4 linked regions of the Arabidopsis thaliana genome follow. The protein of the gene in region 1 interacts with the protein of each later gene in a pairwise test. Each region holds a gene or a part of one and is shown on either strand. Other genes may lie near its edges. The genes, in order: LRL2, AT1G49830, AT3G46600 and TIP.

Region 1 (4,934 bases):
CCCACATGCTTTTGGCCCAAAATAAATTCATTTTTTGTACTTGAAGTCAAAACTCAAACCTCATGCCAAAGCAATAAAAAGAAGAGACTCTACAACGAAATGATATATTATATTTTCCTCTGTTTCAATTCAGACTATTTTTTTTCGATCGTGGTAGAAAACATTCTGACGGTTTGAACATGTAAACGTTTGAGGTCGTTGGTATATATGGAAATGGTTTATATCTTATATGTTTTCTCGGTCCTTGCTGTTTATTTTTGTGCTTATAAGATAAATTAAGATCATGTTATTTCGTTTATAGTAGTAGGTCATAGTAGAGGTATACCATACAAATTCACTCTACAAAACTCTTAACCACCTAAAATGATCCTGACTAGGTGTTCTAAACGTTAGATGCTACTCTAAGCCCCTGCTGCATATATAGTGATTTTCTTGAACACTACTAGGAAGATTTATATGAGATCTTACCGCTGACCACATTGGCGATTGACAATAAATTTCTTCAGTATGTGAGTATATAAAACGGTGAAATTAAGCCTGCTTAAGTGTTACATTCCTGTGTTGTGTAGATTTAGAAACTTAAGCATAACGAGTTTTAAACAAACTCTTTGGCCTAAATGATCATCATTGACGACATTTGTTAGACCAGACCGGTTCTGTGATAGAAAATTTAAGGATATAACTTTATAAACCAAAAAAAAAAAAACATGATAACATGAGTGTGCTTATGGGTGGTTTGTAGTAGGTAAAGACAGAAAACCAAAGTGTACGCAAATACGGTGTCGTATCCGAAAACACGACCTTATTCTTTCTAAACTTTGACCAAAACCACCTATCCCACTTGTCTTTGTCTTCTAAACTTTTTTCTCTCTTTCCCACCCAAAAAAGGGAAAATGAAATGGACAAATGGCCGTTATCACGGCTTGGAAACGGAGGGAGCGTCTTTAACGGTGACCAACGATGAGCCATTACCGTTAGCAACTATTGTAGTGGATAGGTTAGGAGACAAAGGAACGCCGGTATCTTTAACGAAGGGGCTACGAGAAGGACACGTGGCGGTGGAGATGGTGGTGGCTAACGAGATGGGCATGAGGCAAAGACCTTTGCCTTGTAGATATTGCATGGCTGATCCCATGTCCTCTTCCATTAGCTTTGCAACTTGGTGCTCCGTCATCTTCGCCTCGCCGGAGGAGGAGGTGTTTTCGTGGGATCCACCGGCATCCTGAAAATGTTCAATAAAATTAAAAAGAAAACAAGAAAAGCAAAACCCTAAAGCTATGATGATGTTGAAATGGGAGGTTTTGGTATTTGTTGGAGAGAAAGTAGGCACGCGTGCCCTGTCCTTGTTTTGTTTTTTTTACTATTTTTTGGAAAACTTTTTCATTTGTTTTTAGAAAGTCGAAAACAAAACTACTTTTTAATTAGTATTATTCCCTAACTAAAACCTTTTCAATAATTTACATCTCTTTTTAATTAGTTTAAAAAATAAAATCTCATTCTATATAGTGATCACGTCATCCTATCATCCCTTTTAAGAGAGAAGGAATTGAAATTATTACCTCAGAGATTTGAGAAGAAGCAGAAGCAGCACCGCCCAGTCTACTCATGCTTAGTACCTGCATACATAAATTTGCCAAATATTATAATTAAGCAAAAGAAGAGGTAGATATACACTAACACTATGTTTTAACAAACGCAAAAGATAAATAATTTACAAGATAAAAGGGAAAGGGAGCATATGGAATTTTAGTTGCAGAGGCCCATATTCGATTTCTTATTCTAATGTCAACTCAAAGGTAAAGAAGCTTCCACTCTTATAACAAAAACAAATTTAAAATTCTCATATCTTATAAAATAATTCGAGAGAGAGAGAGAGAGAGATTCACCTTGACTTGGAGCTGTAAGAACTTGACATAATCGATAATCTCATCGAGCATTGATGCTTTGTCTGTCTGTTAATTATTATTTTTAACAATAAAAAAAACCTTGTTAGCAATTCTGCATCTGTTTATTAAGTATTATTATCAATTAAATTTTAGAATTAATTAGCTAATCAGTGTTTAATCATTTGACTGCATAAAAGTCCAAATCTCTAGATAACCTACTAAACTAGTAGCAATTTGTGGTCCAAGACTAAAATACATCAGTGTAACTCATATACTTAACACATTATTCATTTTGAGATATATACTATTAAAGAAATGTAAAATACAAATTGGATTATTTGAATCTACTCTTTTAATTATATCAACTTTGATGATCGAAATTTAGACTAATGAAGATAATTAAAATTTACCTTGTTACCATTAGGGACAAGTTCTTGAAGAGATTTCATTCTTTCCGCTATCCTCTCTCTCCGTAACTGTTCCATAATTTCAAAATATTTCAATAATCACCTTAATCATCTAAATAACTTTATACGTTTTTCTCGGTAACTGAAAAGCGAATAATGAGGAAAAGTTAAATAAAAAAATCGAACCCGTTCGGCGATACTGTGAGGATCAGTGGCTTGACCTCTCCTAGCTCGGACTTTAGGCTTTGTCTGAGGTTGCGCCGTTGCACCACCGGTGGTGGCTGACGCCGTCGCCTGCGACTGCGTTTGCGTTTGACCTCCCGATCCCTAAAATATATATCAGAAAACATTAAATTAAGACTTAACAAAAGAACATGTAATGAATGTTTTCTCTTTTGTAGTAATTTGCAAAATGAGAGAGAAAAAGTGGATTATCAGTTATACTTGAGGGAGGTGGAAAGGGAGAGATCCGGTGGAGAAGCCATTGAAGAGAGCGTCATTAGGATGGTTATGTGACAAAGGAATCATAGTGATCTGGTTTCTTGAATCGGCGTCGTGGTGGTGGAATCCAGTGACGGGGGCACAATCGGAAGTTGGTGGAGGAGTGTCGTCGAGAACGGATGAGGGCCAAGGAGTGGAGGAGAAGATGTGGTGGAGGAAATCATCGTGGTCGAATGTTGCAGGAGATTGAAGATGTGGAGAAGGAGATGATGAAGGAGTTAGAAGAGACGAGGAGTTCATGGCTTCTGTTTTTTTTTTTTTTGGTGGGGAGTGAGAATGAAAATGAATGTTGTTGAAATGTCTTTTGAGGTTTAAGGCTTTATGGTGTTTAAAAGAGGGATGGAGATTGTAATATTTGAGATTTGAAGGGTTTGACTTTGACATGTTAAATACGTTTACCAAATTTACCATTTTTTTTATCATCCTTGCAAATTAATTATTTCGTGTTATTTTCATAATTTCTTGATTTTTTTAATCACTAAAAGAATTCGATCACTGAAGTCATGATTTCTTCAATTTTATAATCCTTTGTTGATAATATACTTTTCACAATTTTGTAGTAACTACAAAAAGTAAGTGAAACATATATTTCTAAAAATATCATAGTCGATCGAATGACAGGCTTAAAGTAATAAAACTAACTTAAAATTCGGTTGTACTAAAAAAAAAAAAAAAAAAAAAAAATTCGGTTGTACTAACTTCACTCAAATGATTTACGTATGTTTAATTATCTTTTTTTTTTTATTTAAGACAGAATGTGGTTCTAATACCGTATATTATTAAATTTCTATATATATAACATAGGTTTTTCTATTAATCATTTTTGAAAACTCATGTTTAAGATAATTGTATAAGATTTTCATTCGGTAACATTAAAATTGGTTTATTTGAATGCTGAATAAAATTCTTTGGATTTATGTTAAGGATGCCAACTACAAAAATAAAATAAAATACAAATCTCTATTGTTGATCTTTTTTATTAAAATCAGTCGGAGTTTTAAACTTGTCCCGGCAACTACGTACCACGAGATAAATATTTGCTAGTCCAAAAATGCAATAGTCTACAAGATAACACCAGAGCCAACACTTTTTCTTGTGACAACTATTTTAGACATATAATATTTAGACATGCAGTATAAATGCATACAATTATACTCTATTCATTTGGGTACATTCATTCATTCATCAACGGTTCATGATAATGTTCTCTTCATATATTACTGTTTACAATTTGTCCCCAAGATTACAAACATGCTATCCCTTTAGACGATACTCGTGTTCGATAAGAATAAGATCACTTTTTATAGATTATTCTTGTTTTGTTTTCTGATTAATATGATACCGATCGATGAAATTGTTGTTTTAACCGATCTGATTAACATTTGGGAAAGAGGATCCTCTCAAACGAGAACATAACATAACAGAACATCGTCATCATCATCATGTCATGTTACCATGTATTTTTTATACTTGTTAAATATTTTTTGGTCTAATAAATTCATCATTTACCTTAAAAATTCTTTTTTACCATCGTATACAGTTTTTCAGCTGTTTGATAGTATTTGATTAAGATTAATATTAAATTGACAAAGATAAGTAAAGAACATTATTATGCAATATGCATGATTAAGCACATGGGACATTCTGAGTTTTGCACAAACTCACAAGAGGTAGAGATCGGCTTTAATACACTTCCCATTTATTAATTACAAATGTTGGTAAGCATTGATGTACTACACAACAGAAAGAGAGATCTATCATCTCATGTATTAGTATTATCAAGAGAATGCAATAATTATTTTTGTTTTTACTTAATAATCATAATGTATACCAAAATAATTAACTAAGGGGGTGTAAAATAAGTTACGAATGATAATTTAAATTCCATATAGAAAAAATAAACAGATAGTAAAGACAAAAATGCTACTATGTTAAATAAACTATTGGTCCCATCTAGTATACTGATACATTAGTTTTATTTCATATTATCAGTAGTTTTTTCTATTGTTTATATAAAACAATACGTTTACAATAGGAAGGCAGGAAAATAAACCATATGGTGCACAACCATTGTAGACTCAATCCTGACAAAACCCAATAAATTTGAGGAACTCCCTCAAAAATTACGGCTTTGTTCAAA
Region 2 (3,989 bases), on another chromosome or scaffold:
TGTGACTAGAACTCGAAATATTAAGCATGAAAATTTTTGAGATCTCTAACCATAAGAAAGCATCAATTGAAATAAGCAATGTGAAGAACTTACCAGGTTAAGGAAATTATGAGCAAGGCATCTTACGGAGGGACAATTCCTATACACAAAGCTATTAGGATTCATGTACTCATCAATGTCTCTGACTCAAAAAATATTTCGACGTTACCGTGACGGTTCTATTTACAAAACTCTGATTCCCTGTTAGGTGGTCCCTCTTCAAAGCTAAGAGAATGTGTAAACACACAACACAAACACAAGTTTCTTTTGGCAAATCAAGTCTAATTCCTTCTCATAACTTGGCAGTCTTTAAGTACACAAAGTAAAGCAAAGGGGATCGACAACTAATCCTAAAAACAAAGAACATTATTAACAAAGTGGGAATATGGAAACGTGGAGCTTGATCTCCTAAATCTAAGTAACGCACTTATCAATTCTTCTATTCTTTTTGACCATTTCTTCTGTGGTTCAATCATGGTTAAGCACTTATCATTCACCAAAAACATCTGCTTCATATATCCACGTTACCTGCAATGATAAAATGGGTTTGATTCCTTGATAACTCCAAAAAGATGCAAAGAAGATAATGATTCTGAATTTTTGATACAACACTGGTACAAAGCAACTTCAACTGAGATAAGAGACCCCGAAAAGTGACAAACCCCATCTCCGATTTGGTTCACAGTCCTCTCCGATTAAGTTCACCAAACTAGTCGACGTTGAGCACCGTCGGTTGAGATGATGAGCACGATGGATAAGAGACAAATTCCGTCGATAATCTCTTCCAATTTGATGATATAAACGCGTGATGATGATGATCACCAATCGCTCAATCGCCACCGGAGTTAACAAGAGAAGAGAAGAGAGGAAAATCGATTTGAAAAACAAAACACGGCAAAAGAAAAAAAAAAGTTTTGTCAAAAAAACACAACCAATGATTAGTTGCCACGTATGCGCACCTTAACAACTGAAAAAACTCTAAAATTAGGTGCGATCCCAAGTTTAAATCACATTTTAGATTTATTTTTTTCCAAAATTACTTAAGGATTTATGTTAAAAACTGTTAAGGATCTCCCAATGGACTTGCTCTTAATGTAAAGATTGATACGAAAACAGGCCATACACACTGATTTGGTTCAGCCTGAAGCAGTCAAAGTTATGGATGGTTATTTACTTATTTTGGTTAATTTACCATAGCAATGAAACAGACACAGTGACGACTTGTATCCTAAGCCTTTTAAGTGTCCAAAAATGAAACTAAACTTGTGGACTACTCAACTCTGTCAACCCTCCTAAATTTAGCGTGGTCTTGCAGCTGTACGTACCTCACTCTTCTTCGCGCATGTCAAACATCTTTGTCTTTTTTATTTTTGTAAAAATAATTTTTCAGTTTTCACACTTTTTTATTATTATTTTAAATGAAAAAAATAGTATGTTTTTTAATTCAAAATGTGAGAGTTTTACATCAATGTGAGTTTCTCGAGCTTTTCTATTGGGATTTTAATATCTTTATCCGTAAACATTTTGTGTTTGATTAGTTTGTTTTACAAAATTCATCATTTCGAGTAAATAGAAACCAACAGTTTTCTTGGGCCAAGTTGCCTTACCATTTTTCTGATTTCTCCTTTACCAACTTATCCCATTGATGTAATATCATAGTTAACTATTGTTGCTACTTGCTATAACTGAAATTATGCAATTTTTCATCTTCTTTTTTTACTATTAAAATACATTTATTGATACTATTCTTTTCTGGTTTCTCACCTTTTCACTTGTTTTCTTCTTTCTCTGTCAATTCCACAAACAAGCCTAAGCAAGAAAAAGAAAAAAAAACTCTACGATGAGAGGCACAACGGACGAAGAAGACGGTGTCATGAACTTCTCTGATGTTCTTATGATGTCTGATGATGTCCTTAGCTCCGGTGAAGTAGAAGAAGACAGCTTTGGTTTCAGATTCACCGGAAACGATGCTCCTCAAATGCTCTGTTTCGGCGGAGGAAACCAAAACGACACCGATCTGCTCTTCTCACAACCCTCTTTCTCTCCCGCTTCCCCTCTCTCTTCACGCAATAACGCCTGTGTGGTCAATGATCAATCTTTTAGATCCAATGTAAGTTATATATATGTAAAACATTCCTACAGTTAATATTATTTGAAATTTTAGCCAAGCTTTAAGGTCATTAAGTAAAGTGACAAGATCATTAAAAAGTATATGCATCAGTGCATGCAACAAGTCAAACACAAGATCATTATAATGTATAATTTTTATTTTGTTTAATGTTTGTCTCTTTGTTTTGAAGAAGAAAACCGGGTCGGCTGATGGGCACGACCGGGTTTGCGATCCAAAACCCGGTAAGAGATGCAAGCGAGATCAGAAGAAGTCATCGCTTGGAAATGCTAAGGTTTGGCTTTAAAAGTGTGTATATTTATGTATACTTATCTAATGGATCAGCTATTTGGGTGAATAATAGTAATTAACAAATGCTATTCATAAAAATAGGTCAAGAAAGAAAAGGTTGGTGAAAAAATCACAACATTGCAGCACTTGGTTTCTCCATATGGCAAGGTGGATCAATATACTAAAACAAGTTACCTTCTCTCTTTGTTTTTGGTTCATATATCTCTTATCAACATAATACTGAACTAAAATCAAAACCCTGAATCTAGGTGATTAAATTTTGATGTAAACTTGAAACTTTTACTATAGTTACGTCATTTGGTATTAGCTTGAAACCTTTACTTGTAGAGAGATATTCACGGACTATATTTTACTGTTTTGGAGGTACATTATGTGTTTTGGTAATTAAAATTAGTTTACTTTCTACATTTTAACTAAGAAAAATGTAATTTGGAAAATTTGAATAGACAGATGCAGCATCAGTGTTGCATGAAACAATGGGTTACATAAAATTCTTACAAGACCAAGTTCAAGTTCTTTCAACCCCTTACTTCAAACATAACCCTCTTGTAAGTCATCCATCATCCTTTTGTATTATCTTATTTCATTTTTTTGTTACACTTTTTTCTTGGTATCCTCTTTTTTTGTTACACTCTATGTCTTTATCAATAAAACCGGAAGATATTTATTTTTCCATGATTCGAAACGACTGTTTTAAGACTTAAAAGATTACTATTTTGACGGTGTTGTGACTGATGAATAGTTGATGTGTCGTCAGGACGACGAAGACACCGGAGAAGTAAACCCGACGATGAAAGTGAAAGAGTTGAGAAGCAATGGTTTATGTCTTGTTCCACTAGCTTGGACCGTACACGTGGCGAATACTAACGGTGCTGATTTATGGTCCTCTGCCATCTTGTCACCACTCACCAGTCACACCAACAGTGAACCAGTAGAGATTGTGGAAGTCAAATCTCATAAAGATAAGTAGATAATCTTCAAAAGTGAAAATATTTCTAAACTTTTATTATTATTATTGTAACAAAATGCATTTGAATACCATCATCACCACCACAAACCACTAAATTACAAATCCATGTGATAAGCAGCATTGTGATACTTTTCTTGCCAATTAACTCCCAAGATCAAAACAAGACTTTCAAGAACTTCAGCAGAAGAACATTATAAATTGTCTTAGCTTTGTTGTTGAATTGCTGAAACAACTTCACCGATACTCTTAAACTTTCTCCTTTCCTTGAGAAGCATCTTCGCAAACTCGAGTGCACTTCTCTCGCAAATAGCTCTTCGCTTATCTTCTTCGATTGATTCAAAGTCCTCAACATGTGCCACTCCCACAATTCTCCTGCCATATCATCAAACCAACACTGTCAACAACGTTTCTGAGTTTATATGATCGACAAAGAAATCTCATGGACTAAGATTCTCTCACCTAATCATCTTTGCAGCGCCGAATCCGAGTGAGTCATGCAACAAATTCCTCATGTAGTTTTCTTGAACAAACTTCAAAACCTCGGTATTGTTATAGATATCT
Region 3 (4,264 bases), on another chromosome or scaffold:
GGTTAAGTGGTGTGGCTTATGAGTGGTTTCATAGAATGAAAAGTGAGAATGTTGAGCCTAACGAGATAACTTACGAGATGTTGATTGAGGCTCTTGCAAATGATGCAAAGCCAAGGCTTGCTTATGAGTTACATGTGAAGGCTCAAAACGAAGGGCTTAAACTCTCTTCTAAGCCATATGATGCGGTTGTTAAATCAGCTGAGACTTATGGAGCCACCATTGATCTTAATCTTTTGGGTCCTCGACCAGACAAAAAGAATAGACCTTAGTCTGACGAAAACACATTGTACAAGGTTACCGTGGGGTAAGGCGCATCCAAGGACCCTTAAAGGCAAGAAAATTGCCATTACAGGGAAGAAGAAAGTTTCCAAGTAATCACTTTCTTGTTCTTTAATACTCTTTTTAGTTTGTCTAGTCTCTCTGTTTATATTGTGAATTTTTATCTTCGTACAACATCTGTATTATCATCAGACACATTGATATGCAAACTGGTTTGTTCAGTTCAAAGTTATGGATCTTTTTGAAATAAGTTTTGAATTCTTGGTTTGCCATATGTACTTGCAAGAAAGTAGAGAGAAAGAGAGAGACTCATTCAATATATATGAGAGCAAACAGTTTCTACAACACTTTGAAACCAAAAACAAAGAAATGGAAAGCTAGCAAAATTATGCAAATGATTACAGAACTGTTTTATTACTTCTTAGCAGGTTTCCAGCAAGAAACAGCATAAAGGACTCTTCCTTTCCAGCCCTGAAACATCCAGTGGTTATCATTGTCGATCACAAAATCTTTGTGGTAACGTTCTTTCACTATCTCTTTCCCGTCCTTTACTATCTGTTTGCTTAGTTTCGCTGGTCTAAATCCTGCTCTTAGAATCCTAACCTGCCATTGCTTGTAGGTCTCTGGCCTTGCAAACCGCTCAGACCCTTCACAGGCTATCACACTCATTGCATCTCTTATGATTAGTTCCCTCTCCACCAGTGTCCTGCAATTGTCGTCTTCTGATAATGTGGTCTCATACATGTCAAAGAGTGACGAGCAATGGAAGAGAGCTTCTCTGAACCTTGTTAGGAAGAAGGGTGAATTGTAAGTCCCGTTAATCTCTGCAAACACAAAGAGGTCAGGGTTGATGTCTCTGAATAGTTTCAGAGCCGTGTCTCTCGGTGAGTTGAGGGACACGGTTTCATCAGGTGTATATTGTAGCCGGAGGATGCAGTTGACAACTGTTGTCTCGCCACTATTGATCACCAGATCATCAAGAGTTATGTTCTCCCAATTCTTGGCTATGAAACTGTACTCAAACGGGACATTGAACTTGTCACAGAACCTCTTTAGTCTTCGCCCGGTCTCTTCTACCCGCTCTGATGGACGGAAACCTGACTGAGGAAGCTCGATACCAGTCACACGGAGCAGTGGTGGTCCGATGTCACGTTTTGACAAAGCTTGTATCAGACAAGGCCATTGAAATCCATAGAGAATCCCAAAATCAATGATGTGAAGTGTGGTTGCTTTGGAAGCAAGCTCATTGATTGTTCTGTTTGCAGTGAAATAACACATTATTAAGGTGGGGCAAGCCTGAACAAATCCCTTGTACGCCTTCAAAATGTCCACCATTGATGTTCTGCTAGAAGTAGCAGATATTGGTGTAGTCATGGTTCCTGTAATACGAGCTTCAAGCGCCTCAGCAAAGTGATAACCAAGTCTTTGAGTCGCATCACCGTGGCGAGAAGAGTGTTCTCTTATCTCCTTCAGTTTCTCAAAAGCTCTTCTCTGGTCAAAACTCGCCACAGCTTGCGCGCATTGCATCAAAAGATTCCTCATATCTACTGGCTGATCTGACTTTTGCTGCTTGTATCGATTCGATGAGCCTTTTACGTGTCTTGTTTTCTTCTCTGTTGCTTCTCCCTGATCATTCTTTTGACATACCAACAACACTTCCTCAAACTTCTCTGCTAACTCATCCACCGTAGAAATCGCAGGGAGCTTCGATTTCCTTCCACTCTCAAGATCATCATCTTCATCATCATCCCTATGTCGATACCTTCTGGTTGACTCCTCTGAAACTTCAGGTTGATGCAAACTCGTTATAGAACTGAAGTTTCCAAGAGAACCATCCTCTAGATCACCCGAGATTGGAGTTTGATCTTGAAGCACTTCGAAGAAAGATCTCTCTGCGGCTTGTAAAGCCAAACTGTCTTCCAACATACAAGACTGACCTTCAAGATCTTCTTCCATCAACATGTCATTGATGTACTTAAAGACAGGAAGGTAATCTGAACATACCTTAGACTCGGTCGGAGAAGGGTTGCTCTGAGATTCAGATTCGTTGAAACAAGTGAAACGATTGGTCGTCCCAGATTCAAGATTGTTCCTCGGTTTGCAACAAGATCCAGAACCGGTGTCGAATCTGAACCCATCAACGGGTACTGGCAAAATAGCATCCATGAAACAGAATCTCTCTAGAATGAAGATTGAAACAAGAGTACTTTAGTAAGTCAACGAAAAGAGGAAATGAAAGAGAGTAGTGAGAAGTTTCATGTGAACACAAGTTGCGAGATGTTGTTGATATAAACAAAGGATAGGGTTGATATTTGTCTTATTTAATCTTTGTCTTGGCAAAGAAGAAAAATGAAGTTTCGAGGAAACAGAGAATGTGTGGGGTTGAAGATAAACACTAAGCCGCCACAAAAGGTTAGTAATAATATGTCCAAGACTTTATCTACTGTCGTGGGTCCAAATGGCTAAAAAGCTATTTGTTTTCTTGTTGTTGTCTTCCTTTTGGTCACTTGTCTGGTCAAATATTTGACTTATTAGTTATTACCTTGAATATATTTTCTAAATGTATTTAGAAATTTAGACTTTTTCTTTTTGTATAACGAAATATAAAACTTCGAAGTAAATTAAGTTTGTTTTGGTTCAGTTTTTTTTTCTACAAGACACAAGCAAATTTCAGTTTTTAAATAATAATATAGTAAATTTTATAATTTACTACAATATATTTGTTTGATAATTTATTTTGCATATAATACGCGTAAACTATTTAGTAGTCTGTTACCACATCACCAAAATTCCAAAAAAAAAACAAGATGTAAATCTTAATTGTATAACCTGTCCCTTGATTTTTTTTTTTTTTTTAAGTAGTGATTTTTAAAATTTAATGATTATTTATTATATATAAAAGTTTGAAAATTATACAATTCTCTAAGACATTAATATTTTATAATTTACAATTTTTATATAGTAACATTATACCATGAGACATTTTGGTTTTATATATATTTTTTTAAATCAGACTGATTTGATATGTATAATATTAGTGGTGTTAAAAAAAAGATTTAATATGTATTGAAACGGCAGATTAATGATATTTTAATTTGTTATTAATGTAGATTCAAAAATCCGTTCCGCAAAACCCATTCCAACAAAAACCCAGTTATTTTATTATTGTAAATATTCATTATATGATATGATTCTGAATCATTGTCTAAATATTTTAGTCAATGTGGAACATTAAACATACACATTATTTTGTCAATTGGGTAATACGTGTCCGTGTTTAAAATTAAAAATCACAATATATGTATAAAAAAAAATTGTTTTTTGATTTTATTTTATGTATTATATGACGATTTAAAACAAAATCAAATAAAAAGCATAATTTTAAATATTAATTAAATCTTCTAAATATATATAATATGGTGTATATTAGTTAAGAATCATAATTTTCTTGCTGCGTCAAGTTGCTAAATATATTAGTTTTAAATCGGTAAATATATCAGTCATCATAACTTCTAATAAATTGAACGTTATCCTCTATTATCTCGTCCAGGTCCAAATGTAAACTTCAATATCCTTTTGATTTTATTGCTAATTGCTTTAAATTTTTTCACAAACTCCAATATTCAATGAAAGGCAACAGTTCAGTGAAAAAAAAAAAAAAAAAAGTGGGAAGAGCTTGCCTACTCAATGCTATCTGCAAATATTTGCGAACTTTAGTTCAACATCGACTTCTTTACTGGTTAGAGATCCAGGATTTTGTGCCTTTGTTTGTGGCTATAGCCTTTAAAAGAGGCTTTGAGACCAGCTTATTACTCTGAACGACCCGTATTTAAGGTAAATACCATAGCACACATACCACTCACAAGCACAAGCTTCTGTGTATTCTTTCCTAATATAGGACACATGTGAACCATAAACTGACCAAACATAGACCAGCTTGAGTAACAATTTATCCAACAATTGAATTCTCCAGCACTCCTAGAGT
Region 4 (4,913 bases), on another chromosome or scaffold:
TTGGAAAGAATTGTATTTTCTTTTCTTACTCACACATAATTTTGAGTTTTATTCAAAGTATGATACAACATTGATATATACTACTTATATCAGCTAACACATTTAAAAAGTCTAATAATTGTTTTGGTACTTACGTATTTTGGGTTTTATTCCAAAGCAACACGACAGTAATATTGATACAAACTGCTTCCTATGTCTTATTGTAAGTGTTGTTTAATTTTTTTTACAGATATCAAGAAAACAACTAAATTTTGAAATTTTATTCTTGGTCCATACAATTAAGTAGTAAGGATACAATTATTCTTGTAGAAGCCGGATTTGCCAGAAGAGGACCGGCCATCTTTGCTAACAAAGCCAAAAAGATGTCGGGCAAAAGCCCAAAACTTGGGACGGCAGTTTACCAGAATAATCCGGTCGGCAGAATTCAACAGTTCCTCTCTCTAAAAGATATGAAGGAGAGAAAAGAGAGGTGATCATATTATTTGAACTATTCAAATATGCATTCTTTTGTCCAAAAATTTTGTAATATATTACTGGGCATACTTAATGCCATAAAATACCCAAATGACATGTTTAACAGTCCATACCCTCAATCAAACCGTCCTATCATACTAAACATGTTTAATGATATACGAAATAAACACACCTCTAATAAATATCTCTACCCGGTCGGTTCGTACTAACATGTTTGACACCGTTTTCATTACGGTGCTACCATTCGAACTCGTAGTTTGTTTCTGATTGTACAAGGCTACTAAAAATGTCAAAAACGCAATCTCAAGACACATGTGGTCAGGAATAAAAAAATTTCCAAACATTACCATCTGAATATTATGAGTCGTCGTACATGTTAACTACAAGTCTACTACACTCCTAAACCGACCATGGTTAAGCTTAAGCCGACAAAAACAACAACAATAACAACAGATGCAGAACCAGGCCAAAACCCCTGTTATACACACAAATCCGCGCTCTCTCCACCCGTAAAAACCACTTTCTTTATTCTTACTATATGAATTGATCGGAACAAACATCACATTCAGCGGATTTATGCGACTAGACTGCAGACCGACATCACACACACAACCGCTACCACACCGACTCTGAAAAGCCCTCTGTATGAACATCCCATGGCTGCAATTTTCTTGAATATGAAACTAGTCCTGCTCTTTGATCTTGTGAAATTTCCACATCCTTTCGTCATAGTTTCCGTTGTTGTGTCCTTAACCTATATACATTTTATCGCATAAATATAAGGATCATAAATTGTAATACATGAGAAGGTATGAAAACAAACTTCTTCTCACCTCTTTCTTGATAAATTGAAGTTGTGTACTGTCAGTTTCTGACTTGTGGCTGTTAAGGTTAACCTGAAGACGCAGCCTTCTTGAGGCATCGCCCTGCATTACAAACTGCTCAGCACAACCCGGGGCTTGTGCTCGTCGAGCTCTAATCTTAATTCCTCTCTTAGATTCATCATTGATCTTGTTGCATGAGCTAAGATTCTGTGGCTCATATGGGATCTGTTCTGGCTCATAGGGAATGTCAAGAAAAGAATCCAAGAACTTGGACATATATTCATCCGCATCATTTGTACCGTACTGAGTCTGAATGTAATCCTCATTGTGGTTTTTGAACAATTCACTAGACTCAGATTGTAAGCCATTGAAAGAGGAACCGAGCTCAGATTGCACCTGAGAGTGCAACGGAGAGAACAGCTTCGGGGAATCAAACTCCATAAACGAGAGCCAATCGATATCGTCAAGCTGTTGAGTAAAATGAAGTTTGTAAGTTTACAAAGCGGTTGTACCGCCTCCTGTAATGAAAAGAATGTATTTTGTTCATCCTTACCCCGGTGGTTGTAACCTCAGGGACAGAGTATCCACTACGACATTCGCTGGGGATTACAAGAGAAGACTCTGCGACGTCACAAGGATTAGTCTCTTCTGTTTTAGGGAAAACAGGAGATACCTCAGACATTTCAACCTCGTCCACAACAGTTGGAGACGATACCGCTGGTTCAACTTCACATGACTTTGACTCTTCTGGTTCAGCAGCTCCGTTCACAATATCTTGCTTCTTAAACAACTTACAAACAACAAACGGATTCTGCAACCAAAAACAATCAAACAAACACAATCAGAAACACAAAAGACCTACACACACAAGTTAATGCCATCATTTGCCAAGTTGGTTTTTACCTGGCCAGACTTTGTTCCATCAAGATCCTTCTCAGTAGCACGATACTCATGCATAATCCAACAAGTTCGTGTCCCTTTAGGAGCACGACCTGTATAAAACACTAGAGTCCTCTTAACACCTATAATCTTAGTCTTTCCTGATTTGATCTTACGGTCTTTTCCCGTCGCCTTCCAGTATCCAGCCACAGTAGCTCTATTCATTCGACTTCCACTCGGATATTTCCGGTCCAAAGGACAAAAGAAGAGCCACTCTGAGTCTGTTGTCTTCACCACAGAAAAATCTACACCACAAATACTAAAGTATAAATCTTTACTCAAATTCACTAAGTCCACTACCTAAGCTAAGAAGTTATTGATCATATTGTTCCAAATTCAAACATGCATAAACCGGAATTGAAGCCTGGGAATTGCTAAACCGAGACTAAAGAGCTAAAGATGAATCAACGAATTGATTTGATGAAGAAAGGAATTACCAGGCAAATCCCAAGGCTCCCATTTGCAGATATCGATCTCACGAATTACTCTAACGTCGTTATCGTGACCGTTGATCTTGAGCCGGAGATAGTACCGGACTAACTCTTCGTCCGTTGGACTAAATCTGAACCCAACCGGTAGTGAAGCGAGCGATAGTACTTCCATGTCTTCTTTCATAGTTGCGTGAGACTTTGAGAATTCGAGAGGAAAAGAAAAAATCACAAATTCGACTTCAAGGTGATATCTAAAATGAATTTGGATCAAAGATGCGATTCAAAGGTATATAGAAGAAAACTAAGAAAAAACCAGATTCCAGAATTTGATGAAGTACGAAAAGAAAAAACCCTAAAATTTGACACGATTTGGTAAAGTGGAGAAGAAGGAGATGTGACACGATTTGGTCAGACAAGAGAGATATCAAAGACAAAGAGATGAAAAAGTGGCGCGTGGATAGGCGTACCACTGTTTCCCAGAAAGTCATAAAACACAAAACCACGTTCGTTACGCGTAAAAGGCAAAACAGAATGTAAATACCTATTTTACCCCTGAAGTATTGCAGTAAAATAGTTACGGAAATAGGGGTTATATGAGTCAAAAGGTGAGGATGTCTGAACGAGAGATGTCACCTAGCGAATCATATATTGACACGTTGATGCTATAAAGGAAGCTTCGTGATAGTTGTACGGAAGTTAAAGAAGAATTAAATAAACTTAATTGGTATCATATTGATTTACCAATATGAAACAGTTTACACAACTGGCCAGCCCATCTTACTAATAGTGTTTGTTGTTAAAGCCCAATAGATGAGAACCCAATTCAACCATTTTTTTTTCTTGGTCGTGTGAAGTCTGAATCAATTTATTTAAACCAAATAATGTAAATCAAATAGGTTTAAACTTTAAAACGTTTGATATCGAAGTCCGTTGGTACTCAAAACTAAACCTCAAAAACAGAGAAGAAAGTAGCGAGCGAAAAGGAAGATCTTATTTATCTAAACTTAACGTTCGGCCGTTTACAAGATATGTTTACAGCCAAGCCTCGTTTTAAGAGATACAACAAGAATAAAACTACACAAGTCAATTGTCGAGCTTATGTCTTTGAATCCGAATGAGAATGTTCTTGTACTATTCTCGTCCGACTTCAGGTGTCCTTTTCTGGCATTCCTCTGTCAATATTTATAGTACTTCAATGAAAGTACACAGTACCATTTTCTGAGCGATATGAAACTTCTATGGCGGCTGATCCTTTCCAGAAAATGGGCCTCATCTCGCAATGGGCTGCGGCTTTCTCAGGGGGGCTGGTCTTCATCATTCTTAACTGAGGTTTTCAATGACTCTTTGTTTGGGCCTCCGAATGTTAAATGGGGCGAAGCCCATATCCAACAAAGTTTATCTAAGTCATTGCTTTTTGTTTTGTTTTTGGGTTTAGACCTCTGCGTTTCTAGTTTGAGGATAGTCTCTTATAGTGTTTGATTAGTTGGAATGTAATCTTTTACAACCATAATTGTTTTTGTGAAGACCAAATTGTTGTGAATTAGTTTTAGAAAAAAAAAAAATCTTGTGACCGTAAATCTTATATTTCTACAACCTAAAACCATATGTTGTTATAAGTTCTATAAGTTATATTTTTAATTTAATCTCTCTTTTATTTTAATTTTATTTCCTCATGATCATTTTTTATGTGTTGCTTATATAATGTACACTAGGCACTAGATGGATATATACTAATAGTATAAATACCATGTATAGTTTTGTTTGTTAATGTATACTTATGTATAAATTTTGAACAACATTTGAACAAAAAATTTATATGTATATATTCTTTTCAACTAATATGTAGTTATTATCCGACTAACATATAAACTATTTTACATGTTTATATAGATTCCATTTAACCTATATGTGCATCACAAAATTTGTGTTGTTGTTTATTATATAGTTTGGTTAACTATAATATTTTATAAAATATTTACTAATCATATTTTAAGATACGACTAATAAATTTACTTCTAAGACTTTATATCCCTAATATCTACACGTATAACAATAAAATACACGGTTGCATTTTACACGCTGACGGTCAAAATTTTACAGCGAATAATTTACGGTGACATGCCAACCAATCACTTAGTTACTAAAGACGTTTACTTTCTATCTCAAAGTTCAGTTTCTGGAAATATTTTATTTTCCGTTGTTTAAAATCATAAATGTATGTAGCTTTTAAAATAGTTTTTGGCTT

The links.
Region 2: the proteins of LRL2 (region 1) and AT1G49830 interact in a two-hybrid assay, tested with the Arabidopsis thaliana proteins (one large-scale study listed by BioGRID).
Region 3: the proteins of LRL2 (region 1) and AT3G46600 interact in a two-hybrid assay, tested with the Arabidopsis thaliana proteins (one large-scale study listed by BioGRID).
Region 4: the proteins of LRL2 (region 1) and TIP interact in a two-hybrid assay, tested with the Arabidopsis thaliana proteins (one large-scale study listed by BioGRID).

What each region holds. Positions count from the first base shown.
Region 1 is NC_003075.7:15,078,573-15,083,506, forward strand, and holds LRL2 (LJRHL1-like 2), read right to left. Parts: upstream 3,204-4,934; 5' UTR 3,179-3,203; coding exon 2,738-3,178; intron 2,621-2,737; coding exon 2,480-2,620; intron 2,363-2,479; coding exon 2,297-2,362; intron 1,953-2,296; coding exon 1,887-1,952; intron 1,617-1,886; coding exon 1,560-1,616; intron 1,223-1,559; coding exon 917-1,222; 3' UTR 546-916; downstream 1-545. UniProt on the Arabidopsis thaliana protein: Transcription factor that regulates the development of root hairs. Transcription factor that regulates the development of sperm cells.
Region 2 is NC_003070.9:18,444,550-18,448,538, reverse strand, and holds AT1G49830 (basic helix-loop-helix (bHLH) DNA-binding superfamily protein), read left to right. Parts: upstream 1-1,766; 5' UTR 1,767-1,879; coding exon 1,880-2,149; intron 2,150-2,339; coding exon 2,340-2,441; intron 2,442-2,539; coding exon 2,540-2,605; intron 2,606-2,904; coding exon 2,905-3,006; intron 3,007-3,188; exon of another isoform or gene 3,189-3,215; coding exon 3,216-3,428; downstream 3,429-3,989. Other genes in the region: MTK (S-methyl-5-thioribose kinase), read right to left, coding at 3,632-3,800, 3,888-3,989.
Region 3 is NC_003074.8:17,156,229-17,160,492, reverse strand, and holds AT3G46600 (GRAS family transcription factor), read right to left. Parts: upstream 2,570-4,264; 5' UTR 2,446-2,569; coding exon 694-2,445; 3' UTR 528-693; downstream 1-527. Other genes in the region: AT3G46610 (Pentatricopeptide repeat (PPR-like) superfamily protein), read left to right, coding at 1-269. UniProt on the Arabidopsis thaliana protein: Probable transcription factor involved in plant development.
Region 4 is NC_003076.8:8,415,872-8,420,784, forward strand, and holds TIP (TCV-interacting protein), read right to left. Parts: upstream 3,206-4,913; 5' UTR 2,853-3,205; coding exon 2,675-2,852; intron 2,483-2,674; coding exon 2,202-2,482; intron 2,110-2,201; coding exon 1,852-2,109; intron 1,767-1,851; coding exon 1,308-1,766; intron 1,229-1,307; coding exon 1,049-1,228; 3' UTR 504-1,048; downstream 1-503.